Linked DNA regions of Sus scrofa. The main gene of each other region encodes a partner of the protein of the gene in region 5 in a complex. Links are inferred from orthologs where the notes say so. Each region holds a gene or a part of one and is shown on either strand. Other genes may lie near its edges.

The links.
Region 1: SF3A3 (region 5) and SF3B4 share a complex: the UniProt entries of both Homo sapiens proteins name them as parts of the 17S U2 SnRNP complex. The link is inferred for Sus scrofa from reciprocal best matches to the Homo sapiens genes SF3A3 and SF3B4.
Region 2: the proteins of SF3A3 (region 5) and SF3A1 are in contact, whole or in part, in an NMR structure (PDB 2DT7), measured with the Homo sapiens proteins. The link is inferred for Sus scrofa from reciprocal best matches to the Homo sapiens genes SF3A3 and SF3A1. Residues at the interface, in NP_006793.1 of Homo sapiens: Glu80, Phe81, Glu83, Phe84, Tyr85, Arg87, Leu88, Ile91, Lys92, His95; in NP_005868.1 of Homo sapiens: Ala161, Phe162, Asp165, Val166, Leu169, Thr170, Phe173, Asn177, Phe181, Gln184, Leu185, Lys188, Phe195.
Region 3: SF3A3 (region 5) and SF3B2 share a complex: the UniProt entries of both Homo sapiens proteins name them as parts of the 17S U2 SnRNP complex. The link is inferred for Sus scrofa from reciprocal best matches to the Homo sapiens genes SF3A3 and SF3B2.
Region 4: SF3A3 (region 5) and DDX46 share a complex: the UniProt entries of both Homo sapiens proteins name them as parts of the 17S U2 SnRNP complex. The link is inferred for Sus scrofa from reciprocal best matches to the Homo sapiens genes SF3A3 and DDX46.
Region 6: SF3A3 (region 5) and SF3A2 share a complex: the UniProt entries of both Homo sapiens proteins name them as parts of the SF3A subcomplex of the 17S U2 SnRNP complex. The link is inferred for Sus scrofa from reciprocal best matches to the Homo sapiens genes SF3A3 and SF3A2.
Region 7: SF3A3 (region 5) and SF3B1 share a complex: the UniProt entries of both Homo sapiens proteins name them as parts of the 17S U2 SnRNP complex. The link is inferred for Sus scrofa from reciprocal best matches to the Homo sapiens genes SF3A3 and SF3B1.

What each region holds. Positions count from the first base shown.
Region 1 is NC_010446.5:99,126,126-99,129,890, forward strand, and holds the end of SF3B4 (splicing factor 3B subunit 4), read left to right. Parts: coding exon 1-42; intron 43-2,296; coding exon 2,297-2,470; intron 2,471-2,686; coding exon 2,687-2,874; 3' UTR 2,875-3,093; downstream 3,094-3,765. UniProt on the Homo sapiens protein: Component of the 17S U2 SnRNP complex of the spliceosome, a large ribonucleoprotein complex that removes introns from transcribed pre-mRNAs.
Region 2 is NC_010456.5:47,314,792-47,318,645, reverse strand, and holds part of SF3A1 (splicing factor 3A subunit 1), read left to right. Parts: intron 1-389; coding exon 390-507; intron 508-770; coding exon 771-956; intron 957-1,640; coding exon 1,641-1,762; intron 1,763-1,864; coding exon 1,865-2,110; intron 2,111-2,641; coding exon 2,642-2,849; intron 2,850-3,303; coding exon 3,304-3,458; intron 3,459-3,854. UniProt on the Homo sapiens protein: Component of the 17S U2 SnRNP complex of the spliceosome, a large ribonucleoprotein complex that removes introns from transcribed pre-mRNAs.
Region 3 is NC_010444.4:6,290,752-6,295,661, reverse strand, and holds the start of SF3B2 (splicing factor 3B subunit 2), read left to right. Parts: upstream 1-2,011; 5' UTR 2,012-2,066; coding exon 2,067-2,199; intron 2,200-2,357; coding exon 2,358-2,407; intron 2,408-2,707; coding exon 2,708-2,785; intron 2,786-3,866; coding exon 3,867-4,115; intron 4,116-4,310; coding exon 4,311-4,361; intron 4,362-4,910. UniProt on the Homo sapiens protein: Component of the 17S U2 SnRNP complex of the spliceosome, a large ribonucleoprotein complex that removes introns from transcribed pre-mRNAs.
Region 4 is NC_010444.4:136,978,580-136,982,689, forward strand, and holds part of DDX46 (probable ATP-dependent RNA helicase DDX46), read left to right. Parts: intron 1-46; exon of another isoform or gene 47-1,293; intron 1,294-2,131; coding exon 2,132-2,275; intron 2,276-2,699; coding exon 2,700-2,796; intron 2,797-4,110. UniProt on the Homo sapiens protein: Component of the 17S U2 SnRNP complex of the spliceosome, a large ribonucleoprotein complex that removes introns from transcribed pre-mRNAs.
Region 5 is NC_010448.4:93,955,664-93,959,773, reverse strand, and holds part of SF3A3 (splicing factor 3A subunit 3), read left to right. Parts: intron 1-628; coding exon 629-793; intron 794-885; coding exon 886-996; intron 997-2,132; coding exon 2,133-2,223; intron 2,224-4,110. UniProt on the Homo sapiens protein: Component of the 17S U2 SnRNP complex of the spliceosome, a large ribonucleoprotein complex that removes introns from transcribed pre-mRNAs.
Region 6 is NC_010444.4:76,407,427-76,411,536, reverse strand, and holds part of SF3A2 (splicing factor 3A subunit 2), read right to left. Parts: intron 1,465-4,110; exon of another isoform or gene 1,306-1,464; intron 936-1,305; 5' UTR 897-935; coding exon 771-896; intron 1-770. UniProt on the Homo sapiens protein: Component of the 17S U2 SnRNP complex of the spliceosome, a large ribonucleoprotein complex that removes introns from transcribed pre-mRNAs.
Region 7 is NC_010457.5:101,285,664-101,289,773, reverse strand, and holds part of SF3B1 (splicing factor 3B subunit 1), read left to right. Parts: intron 1-704; coding exon 705-902; intron 903-1,052; coding exon 1,053-1,154; intron 1,155-1,575; coding exon 1,576-1,755; intron 1,756-2,957; coding exon 2,958-3,044; intron 3,045-3,164; coding exon 3,165-3,435; intron 3,436-3,721; coding exon 3,722-3,867; intron 3,868-3,967; coding exon 3,968-4,110. UniProt on the Homo sapiens protein: Component of the 17S U2 SnRNP complex of the spliceosome, a large ribonucleoprotein complex that removes introns from transcribed pre-mRNAs.

The DNA.
Region 1 (3,765 bases), on a different chromosome or scaffold from region 5:
CACATCCTCACCCATTCCCACCGGGTGGGATGCCCCATCCAGGTGGGTTTTCTTTGCTGGGAAGGAGAGGGATTCTTTCACCAGTTATGCTGCTGTTCTCTGTCCTTCAACAATAATAGAGAGTCCCTTTCTTTAGACATTCCTTTCTTCCAGACATTTTTTTTTTTTTGTCTTTTTGCTATTTCTTGGGCCGCTCCCGCGGCATATGGAGGTTCCCAGGCTAGGGGTCGAATCGGAGCTGTAGCCACCAGCCTACGCCAGAGCCACAGCAACGCGGGATCCGAGCCACGTCTGCAACCTACACCACAGCTCACGGCAACGCCAGATCGTTAACCCACTGAGCAAGGGCAGGGATTGAACCCGCAACCTCATGGTTCCTAGTCAGATTCGTTAACCACTGCGCCACGACGGGAACTCCCAGACATTCTTTTATAGAAACAAACACAAAATACTTTAGCCTGTTTACTTTAACAACTATCAGCCTGTTTTCATTTCTTAAAGTTTTACCGAAGAGTATAACTATACTTGCTGGGTTTTGTTTTCTTAACCTTTACTTCCATTCTTTCCTCTGACTTCCACCCCAAAGCAGTCACCTACATGCCAAGTCTAGGCTGCTCCTTATCTTGTTTGATCTTTGCTATTCTTGAAACTGGCCGTGTCCTCCTGTTTGAAAATCTTGTCTTTTTTGGTTTTTATGGATTCTCTTTCTCTCTGAATCCTCAATCTCAGCCACCTTAATAGGCTCCTTTTTCTCAGCTGAGGTTTTTGTGTCTGGCTCTCTTTTTTGCACAGTCCCATTGTTTGTACACTGATGCCACCTAGATGGGTGGCTGTTCCATGGGTATTAACATTCCATACCCTTAATCTTACTGTTTAATGGATGACTACTTTTTTTTTTTTTTTTTGTCTTTTGTCTTTTTGTTGTTGTTGTTGTTGTTGTTTTTGTTGCTACTTCTTGGGCCGCTCCCGCGGCATATGGAGGTTCCCAGGCTAGGGGTTGAATCGGAGCTATAGCCACCGGCCTACGCCAGAGCCACAGCAACACGGGATCCGAGCCGCGCCTGCAACCTACACCACAGCTCACGGCAATGCCGGATCGTTAACCCACTGAGCAAGGGCAGGGACTGAACCCGCAACCTCATGGTTCCTAGTCGGATTCGTTAACCACTGCGCCACGACGGGAACTACTGGATGACTACTTTTATACCCCTGCCCTTCAACCTTATTCTTTCTCTAGTAGTCTTAGTTTTCAGGTGCTTGATTCAGAAATCTGGGAGCTATGTTTGACTCTTCCCTGTTACCCCACTCTTTTTTTTTTCTGTCTTTTGTCTTTTTAGGGCCGCACCTGCGGCATATGGAAGTTCCCAGGCTAGGGGTCTAATTGGAGTTGTAGCTGCCAGCCTACGTACGCCACAGCTGCACCAACACCAGATCTGAGCCGCATCTGTGACCTACACCACAGCTCATGGCATCACCGGATCCTTAACCCACTGAGCAAGGCCAAGGATCGAACGCACAACCTTACGCACCATGACAGGAACTCCACCCCACTCTTAATACCAAGTCTTATTAATACCTCTGCCATCAGCCCTCATTGTCAGTGCCCTAGTTCAGGCTCTCATATCCTCATTATTCCACACCTAATTTATTGTAGTAATTTTCTGACACTTTGACTCTAATTATCTCTACCTTCGATCGACTTTCAGTGAGTAATTTTTCTAAAATATAGATGTTCACACACCCTTGCTCAAAATTCTTTTGCTCCCTTTTACCTATCGAGTAAAGGCCAAACTTGTTAGCATAGCAGTTCTAGGTTTGTCATGATCTGGCTCCTCATTGTTCCCACAACTGCATTCTCCTGATTACCGACTTACTGGTTTTCCTATAACATACTGTGCTTTTGGACGTACTTGTGCTTTGCACGTGCTAATCATTTTGCCTAGAATGTTCTGTTCCCACTTGTTGTCCCCCTGAAAAATTCCTCTTTATCCTTCAGAATTGGATCTTGGTTCAGGCAGTATCTCTGTTACCTTCTCAAATCCTATTCAATAGCATAATCGTTCCATTTGTTACATACTTCTGCAGCACTTGTACAGTGCCTAAATCATGGAAGGAGCCAGCTGGGTGGTTGGGAATTGATTGGATCATAGGTTGGTTGGTTCTCTTGCTTGGAGTCAAGGATAAGGGCACTTTTTACCAGCCTTATTTTCCTTACTCTTTTCTTTCTCATTTTCTTTGCCCCCTTGTCTGATTTTCTTTTGTCTCCTTTGTGTTTGTGTCTGTTTTGTTCTCATAGGGATGTCTCAGATGCAGCTGGCCCACCATGGCCCTCATGGCTTAGGACACCCCCATGCTGGGCCCCCTGGCTCTGGAGGGCAGCCACCACCTCGACCACCACCTGGAATGCCTCATCCTGGACCTCCTCCAATGGGCATGCCCCCTCGAGGGCCTCCATTTGGATCGCCCATGGGTGAGTAGGTTCTGGCCACCTCTCTTGTCCTCATGTGTCATATTCTTGCAGCTTCTTTAGTCACACCTCTTATCCCCTGTGTGTTCTTTCTTTTCATTCTTGTATTTCTTTTCACTGTTTGCTTGTCTCTCCTCTTCCTTCACTGTCCCAATGTTTTGTCCTATTTGTCCCAATTATCTCCTAATTGTTTTTACTAAGTTCGTTCTTTTCCTGCAGGTCACCCTGGTCCTATGCCACCACATGGTATGCGCGGACCTCCCCCACTGATGCCCCCTCATGGATACACTGGCCCTCCACGACCTCCACCATATGGCTACCAGCGAGGACCCCTCCCTCCACCCAGACCCACTCCCCGGCCTCCAGTTCCCCCTCGAGGCCCACTTCGAGGCCCTCTTCCTCAGTGATTTCTCACTGTCTTTGCTCCTGTTATGTCCTCCCAATATCTTTTCACTTCCTTGGACCAATCAGAGTTGCTGTAGCTCGCAGGGGCTAGGGCACTAATCCCTCTCAGGCCTTTTTTGTAAGTGTAATTTTTTTTCCACAGGAGGTTTTTTTTCCCCCTCTATGTTGGTCCGAAGTGCTTTGCAAATGCACAGAGAAAATAAAACTTAACTCCTTGTTTATTCTTTGTGGTGTTTTCCTTGGCAAAACAACTTCTTTTTCTCTAATAAGAGGTGTCAGTCTAATAGGGAAAGACTGGTAAGGTCAGAATAAGGGTGTTTACTCCATGGTTTAAAGGCTTATTCTGGGAGTTCCCATTGTGGCTCAGCAGGTTAAGGATCTGACATTGTCTCTGTGAGGGTGTGGGGTCTATTCTTGGCCTCACTCAGTGGGTTAAGGATCCAGCATTACTAAGCTGTGGCGAAGGTCGCAGAGGTGGCTCAGATCTGGTGGTGTCATGGCTGTGACATAAACCCCAGCTGCAGCTCTAATTCGACCCCTGGCCTGGGAACTTAAGCATGCCGCAGGTATAGCTGTAAAAATAAAATTAAATAAGTAAATAAATACAGACTTATTCTGTAATGTGCTGTGGTGGTTGCTGGACTGCTGTGTACTACAGCAGTTATTTCTTTACATTAAACTTACCCATAAGATGAAGACCCAATATCTGTGATAAAGGATTATTGTGATTATTGTGACTATTAAGTGAGAACAGAATTAAAGTTCCTGAGGTAATGCTGGCAAAAATATGAAGTAACATGCACAAAGCTATTCATTGCAGCACTCTTTGTAATAGTAGCTTGAAAACAACCCACTTATCCATCAGTAAGGATCTGGTTGAATAAATCGGTAAA
Region 2 (3,854 bases), on a different chromosome or scaffold from region 5:
CTGAGAAGAAAGGCCCCTGTGTTTGTGGGAATTGACGTTTTCTCTCCCTCCCAGCATTGCTCCTTGAGCGACTACCATTGAGCGATGACTTGCCCCCTGCTCCCCTCCCCAGCATGTTAAGTGCCCTTGGCCTCCTGGGACTGCCTGGTGCCAGCTGCTGGAAATGCCTGGGCGGAGTGTTAGCACCACTGCCCCAGCACTCCCATTCATGCTGTGAGGAAGCGGCTTGGCCAGCTGCCGGCTGGCCTCAGCTGCCCTGGGAGGCTTAGCACATAGATGCTGGCTGGCAGGGGCCTAGGCTTCTTGCCACCTGAGAGCCGCCAAGGCTCAGCTACAGAGAGGTGGCTTCTCGGTCCCTCTCTAAGTCTTGCCACTGCTTTGCTTTTCAGGGTTCAGATGATGAAGAGGAAGGGCAGAAAGTGCCACCACCTCCGGAGACACCCATGCCACCTCCTCTGCCCCCGACCCCAGACCAAGTCATTGTCCGGAAGGACTATGACCCCAAAGGTAGGTTCTGCTTTCCTCCTCTTGTGTTCCTCAGTGTGTCCATTTCCAGGAGGGCTAGAGGTAGCTTGTCATAAAGACATTGATAGCCCCTTTATCATGTCCTTATGATGGGAAATGGGACTTAGTTGTTGTTGGTGTCCTGGCACATTGCACAGTGCTAGGTACAGTGAGGCACTGAATGGATGGTGCACAAAAGAAATGGCACCCTCTTAATGAAGTCTGCCACCTAGTGTTCTTACTCAAGTGTCTCTGTTGCTTTTTAGCTTCCAAGCCCCTGCCTCCAGCCCCAGCTCCAGATGAATATCTTGTGTCCCCCATCACTGGGGAGAAGATCCCTGCCAGCAAAATGCAGGAACACATGCGCATTGGGCTTCTTGACCCCCGCTGGCTGGAGCAGCGAGATCGCTCCATCCGTGAGAAGCAGAGTGATGATGAGGTGTATGCACCAGGTGAGGTGGGGGTTCCCCTCCTAGGTCCACACCTCTTCTTTGACTCAGCCCCAACTCACTGTGGCCCATGGAGATCTCTAAACTGCAGTCAACTTGCTTTGATCAAACATAAAGAATAACAACTAAGGTCAACAAAAGTTTTTGAGGTTAGGTACAGCCTCTGAAACTGTAAAAGGGACCCATTTTCTAGGACTCTCCCTAGGCAGTTACCTGATATAAATCATATGTGCCCATTGACATCCTAGAGCAAGATCTGACTATAGTCAGGAGGGGTGCTCATTCTTGGGGCTGTCATAGTTCTGATAGCTGGAGTATACTGAGGTCCTTGAAATGAGACATGTTGGTCCTTTGACTGCAAAGCAGCACAATAGGGAGGGAGGAAACACCCAGAGGCAAAAGCCAGGCTTTTTGTCCTAACTGTGCTACTTGCCACTCATGTGACCCTGTCTTCTCAGTTGACTTTTGTAAGTCAAGGGGTTGGCCAGGCCCTGGTTAACAGGCTTAGTGCTGATTGGGCAGCCTTCCCCAGGCTCAGATGATAGGCATGCTGCATTGGGAGCCAGAGACAGCCTTGCCCCATGAGAACAGCCTCCACCCTAAACCAGTAAGGCTGTGTGTTGTTGGAAGGGCACCTGGTTTAATTTCCCTTTCTGTCCCCTTCTTCTGTTCTGTGACTACACCCAGGTCTGGATATTGAGAGTAGCTTGAAACAGCTGGCCGAGCGGCGTACCGACATCTTTGGTGTAGAGGAAACAGCCATTGGTAAGAAGATCGGTGAGGAGGAGATCCAAAAGCCAGAGGAAAAGGTGAAGCTCAGATGAATCTTAATGCCTTACCTGCCATCACAGTCCCACATTTGGCTTAGTTTCAGGAGCCCTGACAAGCTGTGGCTTTGCTTTCCCATGCAGGTGACCTGGGATGGCCACTCTGGTAGCATGGCCCGGACCCAGCAGGCTGCCCAGGCCAATATCACCCTCCAGGAGCAGATAGAGGCCATCCACAAGGCTAAGGGCTTGGTGCCAGAAGATGATACCAAAGAGAAGATTGGCCCCAGCAAGCCCAATGAAATCCCTCAGCAGCCACCACCTCCGTCTTCAGCCACCAACATCCCCAGCTCAGCCCCACCCATTACCTCGGTGCCCCGGCCCCCTGCGGTTAGCCAGCAGCCATCTTGTGACTGGTCTTTTAGAGCTGGGTATTTGGGGTTAGATACCACTGGCTAAAAAGAATAACTATCTTATAGCAGACCCAAGTGCTGAGTGGGTCAAGTTGAGAGAAGAACCATTTAATTGGAGGTGGGAGCCTCCAGCCTGGGCTTCCATCTGTGTGGGAAGATTGGAGCAGGGAAGGATGCGAGTGGCAAATATGAGAAGCAGGCTTGGGTCAGAGAAGGGCTGGAAGGTTTAGCAGGTCTTGGACTGCTGACCTTGCTCCAGGGGGCTATGTTGAGGTCAGTCTCTTTAATGACTTGTATTGTCTGCCATGAGCAGCTGATCAAGTCCCAAGTGTAAAGAGTGTCGCCCTGGGCCTCTCGGCATAGTTTCTGTCAGCCCCAATGTGAAGCTGTGCTTTCAGTCCCAGGGCGCTGAGTGGAAGCTGTCCAGCCCCATCCTCAAAGGCCACAGATGGCCAATTGGTGTGCAGTCTTGGATTCCTGTGACCTGTGGGTCCCTTTTCCCCCACAGATGCCGCCTCCTGTCCGTACCACAGTTGTGTCTGCAGTACCTGTCATGCCCCGGCCCCCAATGGCATCAGTGGTCCGACTGCCCCCTGGCTCGGTGATCGCCCCTATGCCACCCATCATCCATGCGCCCAGAATCAACGTGGTGCCCATGCCTCCCTCTGCCCCTCCTATTATGGCACCCCGCCCACCACCCATGATTGTGCCAACAGGTCAGTGTCTTTCATGTCATTTTCAGGCCGGTGTCAGGACTTTAGACCAAATACTGAGCAGAGCAATGGCTGATGGTAGTGCCAGCTCTTCCAGCTCTAAGTCCATCCCAATGGAGAGCCTTAACTTGGCCATGTAAGAGATCCCTGATCTGGGTGTCTGTAGCTCCTGGAAGAGAGGCTGATATGGCAGAAGTGGGTTCTTTGTACCCAGAGGGGTCACGTCCAGACAGGTACAAAGGCCTGACCATACTTGGTTTTTTCTGGTTCCTGCTCCATCCGTCAGTCTGCTTCTCCTTTACTTTCCTACTCTCCAGTCTGGACAGTTTCCCAGGTTCCCCTGCAAGGGAACTTTCTGAATGAGAGAAATGTGAAACCTTTGCAATCTCCTCTCACCAGCCCTGAGTTCTGGGCCCCTTCCCTCTACTCATGTGGCTGTTTATTCCTGCCCTTGCAGCCTTTGTACCTGCACCACCTGTGGCACCTGTCCCAGCCCCAGCCCCAATGCCACCTGTCCATCCCCCACCTCCCATGGAAGATGAACCTGCCTCCAAGAAACTAAAGACTGAAGATAGTCTCATGCCTGAGGAAGAGTTCCTACGCAGAAACAAGGTCTGTGATCCCGTAGTGCTGCCCATGGCATGGCCTGGAGTGCCTAGATTGGGGTTGGGTTGAGGGGATTCCCAGTCCTGCCCCAGACACACACTCCCTAGCCCATCCTGTTCCGCTCCTGTGGTTTTGGCTTCTAGGGCCTAGATCAGCTATTGGAGTTCTTGAAAGGCTTCTGAGCACACTGTAGGTGTGGGATCAGCTGTTGGAGGAGCAGATAGCCGTTGGTGGCCCCCTGGTGTGAACTGTTTTAGAGCTGAGCAAGGAGATCCAGCTGCAGAGGCAGCAGGATTCAGGTGTGAAAGGGGCCCTGGACATTGGAGGAAATCCTGGGTGCAGTTCTTATTCTCTTGTGGCCTTCCCCTCCAACTCCAACCCCAGGAGACCCATGTGTTGCAG
Region 3 (4,910 bases), on a different chromosome or scaffold from region 5:
TAGTTCATCCTGCCTCTGAGACCCCCAGCCTCTTCCTTAGCACATAACCTGTGCCGTGGAGGCCCCTGGCTTCAGATGACCTGCCGTGGCTTTCCAGTAAAAGGGACCAGGAGGACACTTCCTTTGGGTCAGGAATGGTTCTGTCTGGGCAGACAGGCTGGAGAGGAAGGCACTACTGTTCTTTCCTTTTTGGGTTTGTCTTTTCTGGGAGTGTCAGGAGACTGGGGTGGTGGTAGTGATGAAAAAGGGAAGAGTCCAGGTTCGGGCAGGAGCAAAGAGAATTTCCTAGCCAGGGTTAGGATGTAAGCAAGCTTCGTGGCCCAGTCCTTTACTTTGTCTCTCCTAAATCTCACCTTCCCTGGACCTGACGTCTCATTCTTTTTTCCCTGCTCCCAGGTATTCCTCTTGGGGATGGTTGGTGAAATAGGGCATGGTAGAGAGATCTGAGGAGTGTAGGGGTATGGGGATAATGAGACCTACACACACGCGCGTGCGCGCGCGCGAGGTAAGCCTGGCTGTCAGAGAGCAGAGCTAGAATGGGAGAGGGACCTCACTGCTAGTGGCAAAGGCAGGAAGTAGTTAGGACAGGGAGACGTGAAGGCGGACACATAAGGGGCACAGGCCACTGGTGGGGCAGGGGAGCACCAGGCAGGGTCAGCTGCGCCAGTAGGCTGCTAGGGATGAGGAAAGAAAAGGGCCTGAGTTTATCCTGTCGCCATAAAGACGATTCTTTTTTTTTTTTTTTTCCGGTCTTTTCTAGGGCCACACCCGCAGCATATGGAAGTTCCCAGTCTAATTGGAGCTGTAGCCACTGGCCTACGCCAGAGCCACAGCAACATAGGATCTGAGCCACGTCTGCGACCTATGCCACAGCTCCTTAACCCACTGAGCAAGGCCAGGGATCAAACCCGCAACCTCATGGTTCCTGGTTGGATTCGTCAACCACTGTGCCATGAAGGGAACTCCAATTAAGCGCCTCTTTAACGCCAGGTACTGTGAGACAGTAAAAAGGATTCATGCCTTTTTTTTTTTTTTTTTTTTTTTTTTACTTTTTAGGGCTGAACCTGCAGCATATGAAAATTCCCATGCTAGGGGTCAGATCGAAGCTGCAGCTGCTGGCCTGTGCCACAGCCACACCAGATCTGAGCTGCCACAGCTCATGGCAACGCTGGATCCTTAACCCACTGAGCGAGGCCTGGATCGAACCCGCATCCTCAGGGATCCTAGTCAGGTTCGTAACCTGCTGAGGCGTAATGGGAACTCCAAGACTCATTTCTTTGGGGTTGGAAGTGTGGATAAGGGGCAAGAAAGACTTTAAAACAAATGACGGAGGTTTGGACGTGTTATGGAAGCTCCAGAGCAGGAAAGGAAGGCGGCAGGAGATGGCTCAGCGGAGATGACATTTGAGCTAGGAGATGACATTTGAGCTAGCCGGGAAGGTGGAAAAAGGGTCTTTAGTGTGGCCCTTCCCCCAGGTCGGCAGTTGGAGCTCAGCCCGGAGGGCCCGCTCCATTCCGGCTCCGATTCCCTTTCAGGCCATTCATCCAAGCCTGGGCCGGGAGTGGGCGGGCAGACAATCAGACACTGTTTTATCCCAGGCATCGGCTGCAACCTCCCGCCCGGCGCCCACAGCGCGCGGCCGCCCGGGGAATGAGTCCTCGGGAACGTCTGCGCCTGGGCCTCTCCCGCCTGAGCTGGAGTCGGGCCGGAGGCGGGGAGGTCTGCGCAGCGGTCAGCGAGACGCAGAAAGCACATCCTCCGCTCCGGACCAGCGGTCCCCACAGTCCCACCCCGGCTCCGGCCCCCAGCGTTCCCGGTACTGCGACGGACCACCCTCCTCCCAGAGGCCCTATCCTGTTGAGCCCGCAAAGACCGTGATCTGCGCACTACAACTCCCAGAAGGCTTCGCGGCCAGGCCGCCTAGGGACCATTGACGAATCGCAGAGGGTGGTCCGCCTAACCAGCCTCGAGCGGACGTGGCGTATGGCGCTGCCGGAAGTTCCGGGAAGCGGGCCGGGAGGCCGGCCCGAGCTTCCGGGTGGGTCGCGCGCCTTCCTGCGGCTAAGATGGCGGCCGAGCATCCCGAGCCTCCGAAAGGAGAGTTGCAGCTGCCGCCGCCGCCGCCTCCTGGGCATTATGGTGCCTGGGCTGCTCAGGAGCTTCAGGCCAAATTAGCGGAGATCGGCGCTCCAATCCAGGGTGAGGAGCACGGGTGGTCAAGGGCCGGAAAGTGTAGGCCCGCGGGGAAGCGGAGCTGGTTACCCCGGAGACCCGGGGGCGGAAGAGTTGGGGGGGGCGGGGGCTTGACTTGGGCCTGCTCCGCCTGCCTTACCCCGTTGATCCTGTGCTTTGCCCAGCAGGGAGTCGCGAGGAGCTGGTGGAAAGGCTGCAGACCTACACCCGCCAGGTAAGTGTTGGTGGGATGTCAGGATAGGCCGAGCTTTTGGAGGAGGCGGTTCGTGATCCCTCACGCTTCGTTCTTCGTTCTTGATGTATCTCGGTACAGCGAGTGAGGTCTTGCTCTTTTTGTCTCTTCTTGTCTTCTTTGTTGTAATCGTTTCTGTACATGCTGGTCCCCCCCCAGAACCCCGTCTGAGCTCTGGCAGACAGACCCTGGGTAAATTTTGTCGAACGGACACGAGCGAACATTGTTTAGCGGAACAGCTAGCTCCTTTTGGACTGACCTGGAGCCCTTTCTCTTTCGCAGACTGGCATCGTCCTGAGTCGGCCTGTTCTGAGAGGTGAAGATGGGGACAAAGCTGCTCCCCCTCCTATGTCAGCCCAGGTAGGGCGGTCTTCCCACTTGTTAGGATCCCTTTTTGCCCAGAGTAGCCCCTCCTCTCATATGGAGTGTGTGTTTGGAGGTTGCAACCAGCAGTTTGGGTGGTACTGTGATGACAGAATTGGGAACTCTTCAGTTCTCCCTTGGTCCTCATCTTTGCTTCCTTTGCTGTGACAGCTCCTCCAAATCCTACAGGTCCTTCAAAGTTCAACTTAAATATCTGTAAGCCTAATTTGATCGTCCCATCCTCCTCCAGGTAGAAGTAATTAACCTCTTTTTTTGCTGTCCCAGCACACTGTTCCCATGTTATTCAGTGACAAATTAGGGCTTCCTCCCTGATTTGATTCCTTTCTTTCTTTTCTTTTCTTGTCTTTTCTTTCTTTATTTCCTTCCTTCCTTTTTTTTTTTAGGGCCACACCCGTGGCATATGGAAGGTCCCAGGCTAGGGGTGGAATTGGAGGTGTAGCTGCCTGCCTACACCACAGCCGCAGCAACTCTGGATCTGAGCTAAATCTATGACCTGCAGCAATGCCAGCTCCTTAACCCACTGAGAAAGGCCAGGGATTGAACCCGAGTCCTCATGGATATTGATCGGTTTTTTAACTGGTAAACCACAATGTGAACTCCCGAATTCTCCTTTCTTGATGTGGCTATGGAGTGTTTTTTGTTTTTTTTTTTTTTCCTTTTTTTTTTTTTTCTGTCTCTGTCTTTTTAGGGCCACACCTGCAGCATATGAAGGTTCCCAGGCTAGGGGTCAAATTGGAGCTGCAGCTGTCAACTACACCACAGCCACAGCAATGCCAGATCCGAGCCACATCTTTGACCTACACCACAGCGCCTGGCAACACCAAATTCTTAACCCACTGAGTGAGGCCAGGGATCGAACCTGTGTCCTCATGGATGCTAGTCGGGTTTGTTAATCTCTGAGCCACGATGGGAACTCCAAGAGTAGTCTTTTTCTTGAATGCAAGAACTGTGTGTCGTTTGACTTTGAATCCCAGCACCTGGCTCATTGTAGTTCCCCAGCAAGTATTTGTAGTAGATCAGTGCCTCCAGTTAATGGTCATTTTTTTTTCCCCCACAGCTCTCTGGGATTCCCATGCCACCCCCGCCCATGGGACTCCCCCCTCTACAGCCTCCTCCACCACCCCCACCACCTCCACCTGGCCTTGGCCTTGGCTTTCCCATGGCAGTTGGACCCCGCCCTCCAAACTTGGGCCCCCCTCCTCCTCTCCGAGTGGGTGAACCTGTGGCACTGTCCGAGGAAGAGCGGTTAAAGCTGGCGCAGCAGCAGGCGGCATTGCTGATGCAGCAAGAGGAACGTGCCAAGCAGGTAGCAGCCTGAGCCTGGGGCTCATCAGGGTCCTGAATGGGAAGTGGAGCCTCAGAGGGAGCCGGATCCTGGGGCCTAAGGCTTCTGGGAAGGTCTGGACCAAAGACTAGAACTTGGGCCCTGGCTGGGAGCAGAGTTGGGGCCGACTGGCCTGTGGGATTTTGGTGCTGAAATGAGCTTGTTTTCTCTTTTAAGCAGGGGGATCATTCACTGAAGGAACATGAGCTTTTGGAGCAGCAGAAGCGGGTAATGCCTCCCTCATCCTAACTTTTGACCCCATGGTCCAGTCCATTGCCTGTCACTTTTATTGTTTAGTGTCTGAAATAAGAAGTACCATTCAGGAAAAGTTTTCTGACCCCTGTCAGTCTTAGGTGATACCATTTAGGTGAGGACTCGGGGGGTAATTGAGTCGTTTGTATCAGATTTAGTTGAACACGATGGCCCTAAGTTAGGGAATGATACATAAGATGTTTAGACCCAGGGAGTTCCCACTGTGGATCAGCAGGTTAAGAAACCGACTGGTAGCCATGAAAGGTGCGATCCCTGGCCTTGCTCAGTGGGTTAAGGATGCAGCTTTGCTGCTAGCTGTAGTGTAGGTTACAGATGTGGCTCAGATCCAGTGTTGCTGTGGCTGTGGGATAGGCCTGCAGGTGCAGCTCTGATTAGCCTGGGAGCTTTCATATGCCGCAGATGCAGCCCTAAAAAGAAAGGACGTTTGGTCCCAGAAATGCATTGTACCAGTTACCTGATGGATTACTTTGGAGTATTAGAAAATGACTTTTAATAGCAACAAAT
Region 4 (4,110 bases), on a different chromosome or scaffold from region 5:
TTTGGCTCATCCTTATACATAGGTTTAGACTGTCTTTGAAATTTAGATTTTGGAGACACAGAGGCAGGCAAGATGGAGGCGGCAGTGGCCGCTCAGGGTGAGAGAGAGAACCAGTGGTGGCGGAGGCAGTAGCAGGCTGGCGGTGGTCCCAGCTGCGGGACAGGCAGTAGCTGCGGCAGGTCTTTGGACATGTGGAAGATTGATGATAAGCCTGTAAAAATGGACAGATGGGATGGATCACTTGTGAAAATCTTCAGGTGATTCTGCCAAAAAGGTACTTCTGGAAAAGTACAAGTATGTGGAGAATTTTGCTTTAATTGACAGTCGCCTCACTGTCTGTACTGTCTCTTGTTTCTTTGCCACAGTGGCTTCGATTGGGGATTATACACACCCCTTTCCAGAGTCGAAGCCTGTTTTGGCTTTGCACATCCTATCATATCCTTTAACCTCAGGCAAGATCCTTCAGGGATGGATCCTGAGGATACCTGGCAGCTATTATCCAGTCTCAAAAGTTCTGATAACAGATACACTCTGAAGCTGACCTTCATCAGTGGAAGAACAGAGCAGCAGCAGGAAGCCGAGTTCACCTGAGTCCATTGCTAAGGTTTTTGACCACAGCGAGACACTGGTCTTGTATGCATCTGCGCCTGAAATATCGAGGCTCCATGACAGTCTCCCAACAGGGGAAAAAAAAAAGTTCTAAAAGCAGCCGTCTTTCTGCTGGATCATGCTGAATTAAGGGCTGAGGGAGAAAGAAACAGAGAACTTAAAATGGATAACGTAAGAGACGTTACAAATGTCCCGTTTTGTCATAAAATTTTAGTCTCTACTGGATAATAGGATTTGCTAGCTCAATTCGAGAAGTTGTAGCTCTGCTCTCTAGCTGTAGCTCCTTTGGTCTGCTGATGGCATTGTTTTGATTTGCTTTTCTGGAAAAGCATTTTTGCTAAAAGCCATAGAAAATTCTTCCTTCATATCTAGCAGTATTTTATGTCATATAGCTTTGTGCTATGCAGCATTTCAAGACTCAGGCTTTTTGAATTGTTAACCTGTTGCTGACTTTATTGTGTTAATTCCTGTTTCAACAGCTGCTTCCCTTAAATTCAGGGCATAACTTCTTGTGTATGACAATTTTCCTTCACACAGCATTTTTGGGAGTGTGTATATATCCTGACTTGGGGAGAATTGTGGGAAAAAAACCCACAGCTTTTTAATTTTTTTATTTTTTTTGTCTTTTTGCTATTTCTTGGGCCGCTCCCGTGGCATACGGAGGTTCCCAGGCTAGGGGTCGAATCGGAGCGTAGCCACTGGCCTATGTATGCCAGAGCCACAGCAACGCGGGATCCGAGCCGCGTCTGCAACCTACACCACAGCTCACGGCAACGCCGGATTGTTAACCCACTGAGCAAGGGCAGGGACCGAACCCGCAACCTCATGGTTCCTAGTCGGATTCGTTAACCACTGCGCCATGACGGGAACTCCAGCTTTTTAATTTGTTTAAAAGAGACTTTCTGCCTGTTACATTTTGTGCTTTTAACCAGTTAAAGAAGCCAATGGTATTTTTATTTATTTATTTGTTTATTTTTGGTTTTTAGGGTCACACACCCCTGGCATATGGAGGTTCCCAGGCTAGGGGTCTAATCAGAGCTACAGCTGCGGGCCTATGCCACAGTCACAGCAACACCAGATCTGAGCCACATCTTCGACCTACACCACAGCATGGCAATACCGGATCCTCAACCCACTGAGCAAGGCCAGGGATCGAACCTGTTTTCCGCTGTGCCACGACAGGAACTCCGCCAGTGGCATTTTTAGTTTTTAAAAAAAAAAAAGAAATAAAAAGAGAAACTTAGATTTTGTGCTAAGGAACATAGATTTCAAGCAGCTATAATTGGCGTTTCCTGTTTTTCAACAAACGTCATTTTGAAATTAGTATTCTCATTTTTTTCATTGACCACTTTTAAGAATTGCCTTTACTTGTTCTCCTTTTAGCCGATTTGATGGTTAATTGAAATCTCTGTCTTTAGTAATGGTGGTAATTAAGAAGCTTCTTTCAACATGACGTAGAACCATGATCTGACATAGAAGCTCCGTGTGGTCATAGAATACATGGAAAGTGTCTTCCTTTCAGGCGTTCCAGAAGTAGAGAGAGAGACCGAAGTCGGGATCGAAGAAGATCTCGAAGTCGAGACAGGAGACGATCACGGAGTAGAAGCCGAGGCCGGAGATCCCGATCTTCTAGTCCTGGCAATAAAAGCAAGAAAGCTGAGAATAGGTAATGTTGCCGTTGGCTGTATCGATCGTGCAGGCTGGGAACGGACTCTCTTCCCTGTGCTTTTTTTTTTTTTTTTTTTTTTTTTTTTTTTGTCTGTTGTTGTTGTTGTTGCTATTTCTTGGGCCGCTCCCGTGGCATATGGAGGTTCCCAGGCTAGGGGTTGAATCAGAGCTGTAGCCACCGGCCTACGCCAGAGGCACAGCAACGCGGGATCCGAGCCGCGTCTGCGACCTACACCACAGCTCACGGCAACGCCGGATCGTTAACCCACTGAGCAAGGGCAGGGACCGAACCCGCAACCTCATGGTTCCTAGTCGGATTCGTTAACCACTGCGCCACGACGGGAACTCCCTAAATATTTTTTAATTAATGTTTCCAAAAACAAATAGATGATGTCCCTTTCTTTTTCTCTCTTTTTTCATAGGTCTAGATCCAAAGAGAAAACAGACAGTGGAGAAAGTTCTAAAGAGAAGAAAAAAGACAAAGATGACAAGGAGGATGAGAAAGAAAAGGATGCTGGCGTATGTTCACTAACATAAATAATCGTATAATACCATATTTGTTTTTGTAATGACAAATTCTTGTTTGTTTTTTTTTTTGTTTTTTTTTTGGTTTTTAGGGCCATACCTTCAGCGTATGATGTAGGTTCCCAGGTCAGGGGTTGAATCAGAGCTACAGCTGATGGCCTGTGCCACAGCAACGCAGGATCTGAGCTGGGTCTGCAACCTACACCACAGCTCATGGCAACACCAGATTCTTAACCCACTGAGCGAGGCCAGGGATCGAACCCGCATCCTCATGGATGCTAATCAGATTTGGTACTGCTGAGCCACAACAGGAACTCCTCTTGTTTGGTTTTTAATGCTATGTTTTATTTTTAAGTAAATGATAACTGATAAATATGTCTTATTTGCTTTTTAGGGCCACACCTATGGCGCGCGCGCGCGCACTCACACACACACACACACACACACACACACACACACACACACACACACACTGCTGCACTTGCAGCATATGGAAGTTTCTGGGCTAGGGGTTGAATTGGAGCTTCACCTGTCAGCCTACTCCATAGCCATAGCAATATCAGACTTGAGCTGCATCTGCGACCTATGCTGCAGCTTGCCAAGGCCAGATCCTTAACCTGCTGAGTGGGGCCAAGAAGTGAACATGCATCCTTATTGGCAATATGTCAGATTTTTAACCCGCCGAGCAACAACAGGAGTTCCCTAACGTAAAGATTTTAGAGGCGTTCTCTTGTGCGGTGGATTAAGCATCTGGTGTTTTCACTGCAGTGGTAGTGGCTTAGGTTGCTGCTGTGATGCAGGTTTGATCCCTTTCTGGGAACTTCCCTATGTCATGGGTGGGGCCAAAAAAGAGAGATTTTTAGACATAATGAAAATGAAAATGTTTGTTTTTGGAGTTCCCTGTGGTGTAATGGGTTAGCTGTCTGGCATTGTCACTCCGGTCTAGGTTGGTGCTGTCTCTCAGGTTTGATCCCTGTCGCGGGAACTGCATGTGCCACGGGTGTGGCTGAAAAAGTAAAAGAAAAAAAATTTCAGGAACAAAGCTTTTTGTTTAAGAAATAAACTTATTTTAGAAGTTCTCACATGTGGCCCAGCCGGTGATGGAGCCAGTTCTGTCATTACAGCAACTTGGTCGCTTCTATGCTGCGGATTCGATCCTGTCCTAGAAACTTCCACACGCTGCAAGTGCGGCCAAAAAAATTTATTTAAAAAAAAACATACAGACATAATCATATTATAAAATACTTGGAGGAGTTCTCCTTGTGACTCAGTAGATTAAGAATCTGACTGCAGAGACTCAGGTTGCTG
Region 5 (4,110 bases):
AATGGGAACTCCTAGACCCTTTCCTTCAAGCAAAGCAAAAAACTAAATGAAAGTTCTTTAAGCAAAGTGTACCATTAGATTTTTTTTTTTTTTTTTTAAGTAGATGAATATGGGAACAAATGGAAGCTGGACAGGAATGAGGAGAGATTCGGGCAAGTTAGAAGTTATCTTGGTGACAGTGATAGCAGTGAGAAGGAGAAGGAAGAACAGATTCAGGAAATACTTTAGAGATAGAAAAGACTATGTTCTCTATTGTTCTGTGATTGTCTGTAGCCTCAAATAAGTAACTTAGGCAAATGCCATAAAACCTTTGACTTTTTCCTTTATGGTCAGGGAATGAGTTCTGACATGAAGGCAAGAAGTTCCCTTTGTTCTGCAAAAAAGAAAACCTGATCTGATCCTTGGAAGTGAGAGATCAACAAGAGTTGCAGGAAAATAAATTTCCTCCCTCTTTTTCCTTTTGGCTGCACCTGTGGCATGCGAACGCTCCCAGGCCTGGGATCGAACCCACACCATAGCAGTGACAACGCCAAATCCCCAACCCTTAGGCCACTAGGGAACTTGTAAATTTTCCTTCTTGTTCTGCACTATTCTCTGACTTCCCTTTTCATTTATGGATCTGACTTAGGAACAGCGACATCTCACTCATGAAAATGTACAGCGCAAGCAGGCAAGAACCGGAGAAGAACGAGAAGAGGAGGAGGAGGAGCAGATCAGCGAGAGTGAAAGTGAAGATGAAGAGAATGAGATTATTTACAACCCCAAGAACCTGCCCCTTGGCTGGGATGGCAAAGTCAGTCCAGACACTCCCGTATTCCTTGTTTCCTGTTTTGAAAGCAGATGCAGACACCAGCCTAACACTCCTTCTTCTCTGATTTCTCTTAGCCCATTCCTTACTGGTTGTATAAGCTTCATGGCCTGAATATCAACTATAACTGTGAGATTTGTGGAAACTACACCTACCGGGGTCCCAAAGCCTTCCAGCGGCACTTTGCTGTAAGGAATTCAGAGCCTTTTCTCCTGGATGTTAAAGTATGAAACATACTTTAGAGAAGTCTTTTAGAGAAGAGGGTAGGAGCAGCCTGAGAGGATCACTGGTGTCCAGAGTGCAAGAGAATCAGCGAAGGAGTGGCTCTAATGTCCAGCATGTGGCATTTGGCCTCGGGACCAGGGCTAGCCTTGGGTTGTACCTGAGATGGTTCTGGAGGTGTTCTACCACTTGGCTATCTGAACCTCATTTCCTTTTGCACTTGCTCGCTCTTCAGTTCTCTCTTTTTGTGTCTCTGAATCCTTGGTCATTTCTCTGTCCCGCTGTTAGTATTCAGGACCAAAGAAGGGACTGACCATCTCCTTTGGGTCCTGAAAGGGCCTTTGCCTCTTTAAAAAAAGAAACGAAGAGATTGACATTTATCAAGCTCTTCTTGAGACAAGGCATTATCTAGGTGGTACCCCAGTAAGTGGATTCACCCTTGTTTAGTTTCCGCCTTCAATTCTTATACTTGGAAGGAAGTTTTACAGAATGAAAGGCTTGCTTAATGTAGCCTAGGATAGCGAATTTCTATGACCTCTCTCTCCCTCAGACGTACATATTACTAATTTGTCCTGGGTCTTTCCTGCCAAGCTCCTGAATAATCTCTGAATCTTTCTGAACACTACCTCCATTGAATTGGAATTGGTCTCCTGGGCCCATGCCATTTGTAGTCCCTGAGCCAAAACTGTCCCTGTATCAGTGTCTCCCTGGTCTCTTTCATATACTTGGTTATACCTGATAAACAATCTTCTCCTTAATTTCCAGAGATAACACTGACCTGCCATCAGTGTTGGCTACTCAGGCATGTTGGTAGCTGGGGTTGCATGGGATGTTATTGATAAGTTAAAGTCTCCAAGAGAGGTTTTGTCTGGATCTAGGGCCTAGGTTTTATAAACCAGCTCAGTGAAGCAAACTATGCAACGCTTTGACGTAACTGCCTCTGATCAGTCATAGCAGCAGTCTAGAGTCAGGAACCACAAAGGAACGTTGCCTTTAGGTGGAGCCTTTTAGAAAGGGTCAAGGTGGCGTTTATGAGCACAATGGAATTAGTACTCTGTGTTCAGTCAGTCCCGTTTTACATTGTTCTCTTCTTTTCACGCAGGAGTGGCGTCATGCTCATGGCATGAGGTGTTTGGGCATCCCAAACACTGCCCACTTTGCTAACGTGACACAGATTGAAGATGCTGTCTCCTGTAAGTAAGCTTTATTGTTCCCTGAGCCAGCCCTCTAGTTTACTGTCCCAATACCCTGGCCTAAGGGCAGCAGGGTGTGAATGTGTACAAACTACTCCAATTGTACAAGCTGCATTTTGAGGGGATGAATTAGCCAGCAGTACTGATTGTTTCCCCCTTGGGAAGTGTTCTGTGCTGAGGATAAAATGGTTTTTAAGTGGGTTCTGTGAACTCCCCTGTATGCAAGATTTTGAGTAAATGAGTATGTATATTTTTCTGAATTGACTTTACTGTGTTAAGAACTACAGACATGGAGTTCCCACTGTGGCACAGCTGTTGCAGCTGTGGTGTAGGTCACAGATGCAGCTGGGATTCAATCCCTGGCTCATGTTATACCATAGGTATGGCTGAAAAGCCAGCAGAAACAAAAAACTACAGATATGAAGGAAAAAATTAAAATGGTCTCAGCAAGCTTATTTCTTTTTTCTTTTTTTCTTTTTTTTTTTTTTTTGTCTTTTTTGTTGTTGTTGCTATTTCTTGGGCCGCTCCCGCGGCATATGGAGGTTCCCAGGCTAGGGGTTGAATCAGAGCTGTAGCCACCGGCCTACGCCAGAGCCACAGCAACGCGGGATCCGAGCCGCGTCTGCAACCTACACCACAGCTCACGGCAACGCCGGATCGTTAACCCACTGAGCAAGGGCAGGGACCGAACCTGCAACCTCATGGTTCCTAGTCGGATTCGTTAACCACTGCGCCATGGACGGGAACTCCAGCAAGCTTATTTCTGAGCTGACAGGACAGGTACACAGCAACATGGCAGCAAAATACCTCTTAGAGAAAAAGCCAAGTGCCGCACGTGTCCGGGAATTTTCAAGTGCGAGTCAGGCTTCCTGTTTACCTGGCCATGGTAGCTTTTTCTGCCATTAGCCTCTTCTTCTCAGGCTTCTTGTTTCCTTTCTGGTTCTTCTCTTCTCTGTCATATTTTCACTTTCAATGAGTTAGACTGTGAAGAAAAGGATTTTACCACTCCACTTTATTAAATTTCAGGCTCTCCCTCCCAGATGTATTTATCACACTACTTGGCTACTTGGTCAACTAACTTCTTTGGCTCCCAACTCTAAGGTTGTTGAAATCATCCAGGGCAGAGCTAAATAGAAATGACCTTCTAAAGAGCTCCCTGATCCCTGACTTAATCTTTGGATCCTGGGGACTTTTTCATTGCTTTTGTGTGTGGGTGCAGTCAGCTTTAGGAACTCCTTGCTGTTTTGTCTTTTCTTATTCATTTGCAAGTCAGGATCCTACAGTTCTGCCAGTCAGGATTATAATGCATCTTGTCATCAGATTATCCAATTAGCTTCTTCAGTTTTTGCCCTTCATTTTGTTGGGATAAAATTTAAATATTAGGAGTTTCCTTCGTGGCTCAGCAGCAATGAACCCAGCTATCATCCATGAGGATGTGGTTGCAATCCCTGGCCTCGCTCAGTGGGTTAAGGATCTGGTGTTGGCTGTGAGCTGCGGTGTAGGTTGCAGATGCGGCTCGGATCTGGCGTAGCTGTGGCTGTGTTGTAGTTGGCAGCTGCAGCTCTGATTCGACCTCTAGCCTGGGAACTCTCACAGTATGTGCAGGTATGGCCCTAAAAATACAAAAAAAAAAAAAAAAAAATTTAAGATGGTAATGAGAGTTCTCTGGTTGTTCAACACCCCCTGCCCAACAATAGTAATGAAATTTCATAGAATGACAATGCTGCATTTTGAATGTAATCTCATTTTTAAATATATTTTCTAGCTGCATATTACTAATTAGTTCATTTTTGTGTGTATTTTCTTATGTCCTGCAAATTGTCTGTTACTTTTACTTCTTTTTTATTTTGGTCTTTTTAGGGCTGAACCCATGGCATGTGATGGTGC
Region 6 (4,110 bases), on a different chromosome or scaffold from region 5:
GGTAGCATGCTGCCAGTGGCTGGGCTGAGGTACAAGGCCTGCCTCTGTTCCTGAATCCTGGCTCTCCTGCGGTTGGCACTGAGAGGGCACTGAACCCTTTCAGGAATGTCTCAACGCTGAGCCTGAAGAACCCTTAGTTGATTATCTCAGAAAATCCTGAGTTTGATCCCTGGCTTGCACAGCAGAATAAACTCCCAATGGTGAGATGGTATAGACCTGGGTGGCCGCCAGCACCTGTGAGCAACCCCCTCCCTCCCACTCAGGTGTGTATTTAAACGTGCTGCAGCATCTCAGGACCTCAGGGGTCAGATGGTTGTGGAGCACAGCCTCCTGGGGTCCACGGAATCCCTCACCTTGGGGTCTCACTTGGGTGGTTCCGCTCTTAGGGGACACTGGGCCAGCTCCGGGCATCCAGTGTTGGGGGCTCCTGGGCTACTCTAAATGCCGTGGTGCCTAGGTTGGCCCTACATGTCCACAGTGCTGTGTGTGGGGGGGACCTGTCCACCAACAGATAACTGTTGGTCTTCGCTGCCTGTGGTTGCAACGTTATTAACTCACATTGGGCCTCTGAGGCTTCACCACTGGCAATCCCACAGGCCTCTGCCTAAGTAAAGCTTCCTGTGGTAAAAACCCTTCAAACATGGGGCTACCAACAGAAAATGGTCTATGGGGGATAGCGAGAGCTGCTGTTCTAGGTCAAGTGCCCTGGTTCAGAGCAGGACCTTGAGGCCAGAGAAAATGGTGGGCAGGGCTACGGGGCCAGGGAGTACCTTGTTGATGTCGATGGTTTCCAGGGCCAGCTGCCGCAGGCGCTCCCTGCGATCCCGGTTGCTCTCAGAGGAGGAGGCCACACCCCCGCTCCCGGTCTTGCCGCCGGGGCGATGTTGGAAGTCCATGGCGAGGGCCCTGGGGGTTTACCAGACCAGGGGAGAAACCTGCCGAGGCCAAGGCCAAGGCAGCCATGAGGCTGCTGCATGTGAGACCTCGCCCTCCTGGGTTCAGACTCACCCCCACTCTGCACTCTCTCTGCCCTGCCAGCCCCTGGGCCACCAGAAGACTGGGCTGAGGGCCCACGATGAGCCATGTGCACAGAAATGAGGAATAAGGATGCCTGAGGAATGCAAAGGCCCAGAGACCCGAAGTGTTAACGGGGAAGGTGAGGCCAAGTTCTTACTTGTCTCACCTTTTCCAAGAAGCCTTCCCAGACTGCCCTAGCCCATAGTGTTCACTCCCTCCTCGTGGCTCCCTTTCTGCTTATCTACACTTTTTTTTTTTTTTTTGGCTTTTTGCTTCTCAGGGCCACACCTGCAGCATATGGAGATTCCCAGGCCAAGGGGTCAAATCAGAGCTGCCAGCTGCCAGCCTATGACGCCACAGCCAGAGCAACACAGGATCCAAGCTGCATCTGCGACCCACACCACAGCTCACACCGACATCCTCATGGATACTAGTCAAGTCCTTAACCTGCTGAAACACAGTGGGAACGGCTACACTCAATTTCCACAACCTAAATTCTTATTTTATTTTCTTTAGGGCCGCACCTGTGGCATGTGGAGGTTCTCAGGCTAGGGGATGAACTGGGAGTTGTAGCTGCCGGCCTAGGCCATAGCCACAGCAACATGGGCTCTGAGCCATGTCTGTTACCTACACCACAGCTCACAGCAATGCTGGATCCTTAACCCACTGAGTGAGGCCTGGATCGAACCTGTGTCCTCGTGGATACTAGTCAGATTTGTTTCCACTGAGCCACGATGGAAACTCCCTAAATTCTACTTCTCTGGCTCAGCTGTGCATTTGTTGGAGAGAAGGAACAAGTCTACTTACCTGCCCCCTCCCCCCACTGCCTAATGCACAAGAGATGTTTAAGATTTGTTCGCACCTGAGGAGGGCTTTCTGGAGAAAAATACTGAGTTTCTCCTCCACATCCTCGTCAGCCAGGCCCACTGCCCATTTTCCACACTTTCAGGCTCAGACCCAACCTCCAGGCACCTTTCTCTCATCTTACACTGTCCTTGGCTGGCCAGTGCTGGCCTCAGGGCCCCCTGATTTATTTATTTTTTTAAATTTTTTTATTTTTTATTTTTTTTGTCTTTTTGTTATTTCTTGGGCCGCTCCCACGGCATATGGAGGTTCCCAGGCTAGGGGCTGAATTGGAGCTGTAGCCACCGGCCTACGCCAGAGCCACAGCAACGCGGGATCCGAGCCGAGTCTGCAACCTACACCACAGCTCATGGCAACACCAGATCGTTAACCCCCTGGGCAGGGCAGGGACCGAACCCGCAACCTCATGGTTCCTAGTCGGATTCGTTAACCACTGAGCCACGACGGGAACTCCAGGGCCCCCTGATTTAAACTGGTGCTATCATGTCTCTGTTGGGGTAGGTTCCCAGGGATGAGGCCCAGGAGTGAATAAAACCCTCCAGAGACATCCCCATCCCAACCCCAGGGTGCCTGGATGAGCCACCTCATGTGGCAAGGGAGACAGTGCAGATGGGGTTAAGGCCCCTGATTTGGTGGTGATCTTGGATTCCCCGGGGGACCCAGTGTTGTTACAGGGTCTTCATAAGAGGGAGGCGGGAGGGTCAGAGGCAGAGAAAGATGGGAGATGCCATGCTGATGACTGAGGATGGAGGAAGGGGCAGGGATGCAGTGCTTCTGGAAGCTGGAAAAGGAGGAACCAACTCTCTCCTGGAGCCTCTGGAAGGCATAAAGCTCAGTGCGACTTCTGCTAAACTTGTGGTCTCCAGAGCTACATTTTTAAGTCCTGTCGTTTAAGCCACCAAGTCTGTGGTGGCTCACTGCATCGGCCACAGGAGACTAGTGCTCCGGGCACAGGCCAGCTGTACCATCTCCCTGCAGTGCAACTGATGAATTAACAGAAACCTCACATCTGGTGACCAGTGGGGTGATCTTTCAGTTGGCTGCAGAATTAACAGGGCTAGACTTTTTATTCATACAAGTCCAGCCAGGGCCTCTAACTTGTGAATCCTGTAAAGCAAGGTATGAAAGACAACAGCCATCAACCATCACCATCATCTCATAAAACAGTGACCACAAGCCTGTACTGCCCACCACGCTCAGGGCGACACTCAGGGAAGAGCACACCCAGGCGGCCTCCAGCCAGGGACTGATCACACCCGAGGGGAGGCCCTGCATCCGAGTGGCCCTGGGCCCAGCTTCAGCACCAACTCCCTGGCAAGTCAGCGCTTCACTCTCTCAGAAACTGGGATGAAGGGCCTCTTGGCAATGAGGCAGGTACAGTGGCCCTAGGGAAGCTGCGGTGAAGCCAGGCTGAACAGATGGCAAGTCCATTCAAACCTACCTACTGAACAACAGGCAGCCCCCACCCCACTGTGACCAGAAGGCAGGAGTCCCTGGTCCAGAGGAGATCAGGAGTCTTTTCTGGGAAAAGAGTGCCAGAGAAAGTATTCTTAGACTGACGGTTGGGGGCCTGCACCAGCTCCAAAACCTAGCACCTTGCCAGGCCCACTGAGTTCACTAGTTGAAAAGCACTACTTCTTTTTTTTTTTTTGTCTTTTTGCCATTTCTTGGGCCGCTCCCATGGCATATGGAGGTTCCCAGGTTAGGGGTCTAATCAGAGCTGTAGCTGCCAGCCTACGCCAGAGCCACAGCAACGCAGATCCGAGCCGCGTCTGCGACCTACACCACAGCTCATGGCAACGCCGGATTGTTAACCTGCTGAGCAAGAGCAGGGATCGAACCCACAACCTCATGGTTCCTAGTCGGATCCGTTAACCACTGCGCCATGACGGGAACTCCCGAAAAGCACTACTCTTGATGCAGAACTGCTAACAATATAAAGAGACTCAAGGAATTGCAAGTATCAGAAAACAACAACAAAAACCAGTGGAACCTCAATGAAGGAGAATAATATTCTTCAAGATCATGGGAGATGTTACTGCACCATGAAACCTGAATAGCATGCCAAGAGTGAGTTTGGTGAATCAAAACCACGCAGACCCTTTAAAAGAAAAGACATGATAATCCAAACAAAAAATTGAACACAAGTGCTCTAAGGTCAGCCAAATAAAGCTTTCACACAAAACAGAAAAATGAAAAACAACCAACAACAAAACAAAAGGAGGCAAA
Region 7 (4,110 bases), on a different chromosome or scaffold from region 5:
ATACCCCCCTCCCCCCTGTTCAGTTAGCATTAGAGTGTCTATTTTAAGTATGCATGGAATTACTGCTTTATAACTTATTTAAAGACTCCATGTAATGCTGTGGGCGTAGTCAGGAGCCTACTATCAACTACCTGGGTGTCTGTCTTAATTGCATTTATTGATTTCTTTATCAGTAGGAGGGGGAAATCCTCTGTGAATCTGTAGTGAATTTTTTGGGGTTTAGTCAAACGGTGTGTATTTTACAGGGCTTTGCTAAATATTTTGGTTTTAGTGTTTATGCAGTCAGCTCATTTTTGTAGGGCAACTTAAGTAGCGATTTGCTTTTATGATGCAGAGATTTATATGAATGATTTCTAATTTTTATTAAAATATGAACATTTATACATTATATATGTGCACTGTGAGCTTATTTTCATTTATGACATTGGCTCAGTAACACGTTTACATAGATTGTTTGAAAGTGATGAGAATTTCATAAGCCTACTCTGTGTATCTCTTCATTCCCCCACACTTCTGATAAAGTTAATTTAAATTCAATAAGAAATATTAATATTTGTCATATTTTAAAATGAAGACAGAAAAGTCAAGTCAATGTTAATTAATTCTTGTCTCTAAGCAAAAAGCTTCCTAAGTGCAAATATTATTCAGTTATGTTGTTCTTTATAAAGTTAAGGAAATCCTAAACCGTCTTTTAATTCTATTAGGTGCTTCCTCCTCCAGCTGGTTATGTTCCTATTCGAACTCCAGCTCGAAAGCTGACAGCAACTCCAACACCTTTGGGTGGTATGACTGGTTTCCACATGCAAACTGAAGATAGAACTATGAAAAGTGTTAATGACCAGCCATCTGGAAATCTTCCGTTTTTAAAACCTGATGATATTCAGTACTTTGATAAACTCTTGGTAAGTGATAATAGCAGAGATAAAATAGTAATTTTTAAAAAAGGTTTACTGTTTTAAATTATAGTTGATTTAAAAAGTGTTACTTTTTATTTAGTTGTTAAAAATCTTAATCTCCACCTACCTTTTAAATTTTTTACTTTTTCCTATTAGGTTGATGTTGATGAATCAACCCTTAGTCCAGAAGAGCAAAAAGAGAGAAAAATAATGAAGTTGCTTTTAAAAATTAAGAATGGAACACCTCCCATGAGAAAGGTAAGTACCAGTTTATTAAATCATCACGTCATGTAGTCTTAGAGATACTCCATTTTATCCTCAGAGCCTGAAGAGTCTAAGGTAATTACTGGAATTATTTGAGGGAATTGTATCAGAATTTAAAAAAATTTTTTTTTATTATAGTTGAATTGCATTGTGAATTGTATTAGTATTATATGTGGCTTGAAGATGATTGATTCTTTAGGGGAAGTTGAGTTTTATGTTACACTCTTACTCTGTTATCCTTTTTGAATTAACTGAAAACATTTGAGCTTTGATTATAGGAGTTCAAACTTCAGAATAATTTTGATGGGAATAAACTTCGTTCCACTAGTTAGAGAAAACCATAGAATAACTAATTTGCTTATGCAAAATGTTTATTATAAAGAAACATGCCTTTATAATTTTTTTTTTTCTCCAGGCTGCATTGCGTCAGATTACTGATAAAGCTCGTGAGTTTGGAGCTGGTCCTTTGTTTAATCAGATTCTTCCTCTGCTGATGTCTCCTACACTTGAGGATCAAGAACGTCATTTGCTTGTGAAAGTTATCGATAGAATATTATACAAACTTGATGATTTAGTTCGCCCATATGTGCACAAGGTTTGTTTTCAATTTGTGTTTCTAATGGTTTGGTGTTTTTAACATAAAAGGAATTTGTGGACTTTTTTTTTTTAACCAGCTTATTAGATGTATTTATGAAAATTTAAAACTCTAAAACAATAATAGCTGATGGTATACCTTTATTTTTTTATTTTTATTTTTTTGCCTTTTCTAGGGCCGCTCCCGTGGCACATTGAGGTTCCCAGGCTGGGGGTCTAATCGGAGCTATAGCCACTGGCCTATGCCAGAACCACAGCAAGGCAAGATCCCAGCCATGTCTGCAACCTACACCACAGCTCACAGCAATGCCAGGTCCTTAACCCACTGAGCAAGGCCAGGGATCGAACCTGCAACCTCATGGTTCCTAGTTGGATTCATTAACCAGTGGGCCATGACAGGAACTCCGTACTTTTATACTAAAAGGGGAAATTTCAGCCTCTTTAAAATTATTCAGTAACCAGTGTTAAATTTACATACCCTCCAGATCTTTTTCTTTTTGCACAAGCATGCCTCACACATGTACAAATATATACATAAATAGATGTAACTTTTTGCCATCTTATGTGTTGGGTTCATATTACTCATATTTTAAAATCTGCTTTTCTTGATATTAGGATGAGAAAATATGTGTTTCTCTACTGTGCCACTTAGTGCTAAGAACCATTTTTTGCTGGTAGTAATTATGACTTAGAATTGTAAGTTCAGACAGGTGTGTGTGTATATGTGTGTGTTTAATAGTCTGTATGGTTGGAGTTCCCGTCGTGGCGCAGTGGTTAACGAATCCGACTAGGAACCATGAGGTTGCGGGTTCGGTCCCTGCCCTTGCTCAGTGGGTTAATGATCTGGCGTTGCCATGAGCTGTGGTGTAGGTTGCAGATGCGGCTCGGATCCCGCGTTGCTCTGGCATAGGCCGTAGGCCGTAGGCCGGTGGCTACAGCTCCGATTCAACCCCTAGCCAGGGAACGTCCATATGCCGCGAGATCAGCCCAAGAAATAGCAAAAAAGACAAAAAAAAAAAAAAAATAGTCTATATGGTTAACAGTTCTCTCAAATATTCATCTTTATGTGGGGTTGAAATTATGTGATTAAAATCCTAATTTATCCCTTGATTAACAACTTCTTGGCCAGTATAAATTTCCTGTACTCTGTCCCATGAGTATTGCATCAGTAATTGGTGTGACAGTGTAGCTTCTCTTTTTCAGATCCTAGTGGTCATTGAACCATTGTTGATTGATGAAGATTACTATGCTAGAGTGGAAGGCCGAGAGATTATTTCTAATTTGGCAAAGGTATTTATATTTCTGGAGAAGAAAGTTTTATATTAGTTGATGGGATTATTTGATTATAGAAGGAACTGTTTGGGGGGTAATGTTATCAACTCATAACTGTGCTTTTTCTTAAACTTTTAGGCTGCTGGTCTGGCTACTATGATCTCTACCATGAGGCCTGATATAGATAACATGGATGAGTATGTCCGTAACACAACAGCTAGAGCTTTTGCTGTTGTAGCCTCTGCGCTGGGCATTCCATCCTTATTGCCCTTCTTAAAAGCTGTGTGCAAAAGCAAGAAGTCCTGGCAAGCTAGGCACACTGGTATTAAGATTGTACAGCAGATAGCTATTCTTATGGGCTGTGCCATCTTGCCTCATCTCAGAAGTTTAGTTGAAATCATTGAACATGGTAAGTTGTGTTATAACTTTGTTTTTTATAAGACAGATTTCTTGAAATTTAGGCTACAGATTTTGGAGCGAGAAATGGAAGTGAACTGCCTAAACACCATATAGTTTATGATGGGATTTTTAATAGTAGCTGCTCATAGGTTGTGGTTCATACTGGCTTTGGTCTAACTTTGTCTAATATGAACAGCTTCAGTTTGACTTAAGTTGTTATGTGTATCGCTAGAATCTTGATATTATAGAAACTAGGTAAAGTTACTCAGTGGAAACCTGTGTTTGGTTTTTTATAGGTCTTGTGGATGAGCAGCAGAAAGTACGGACCATTAGTGCTTTGGCCATTGCTGCCTTGGCTGAAGCAGCAACTCCTTATGGTATCGAGTCTTTTGATTCTGTGTTAAAGCCTCTATGGAAAGGTATACGCCAACACAGAGGAAAGGTAGATCCATCAATTTGATTTCATTTTTCTTTTTATTTCTACTTATTGAAGTGACTTAAATCTAATGTAACAAATTTGTATTTTCAAAATTTTAAAATAGGGTCTGGCTGCATTCTTAAAGGCTATTGGGTATCTTATTCCCCTCATGGATGCAGAATATGCCAACTACTATACCAGAGAAGTGATGTTAATTCTTATTCGAGAATTCCAATCTCCTGATGAAGAAATGAAGAAAATTGTGCT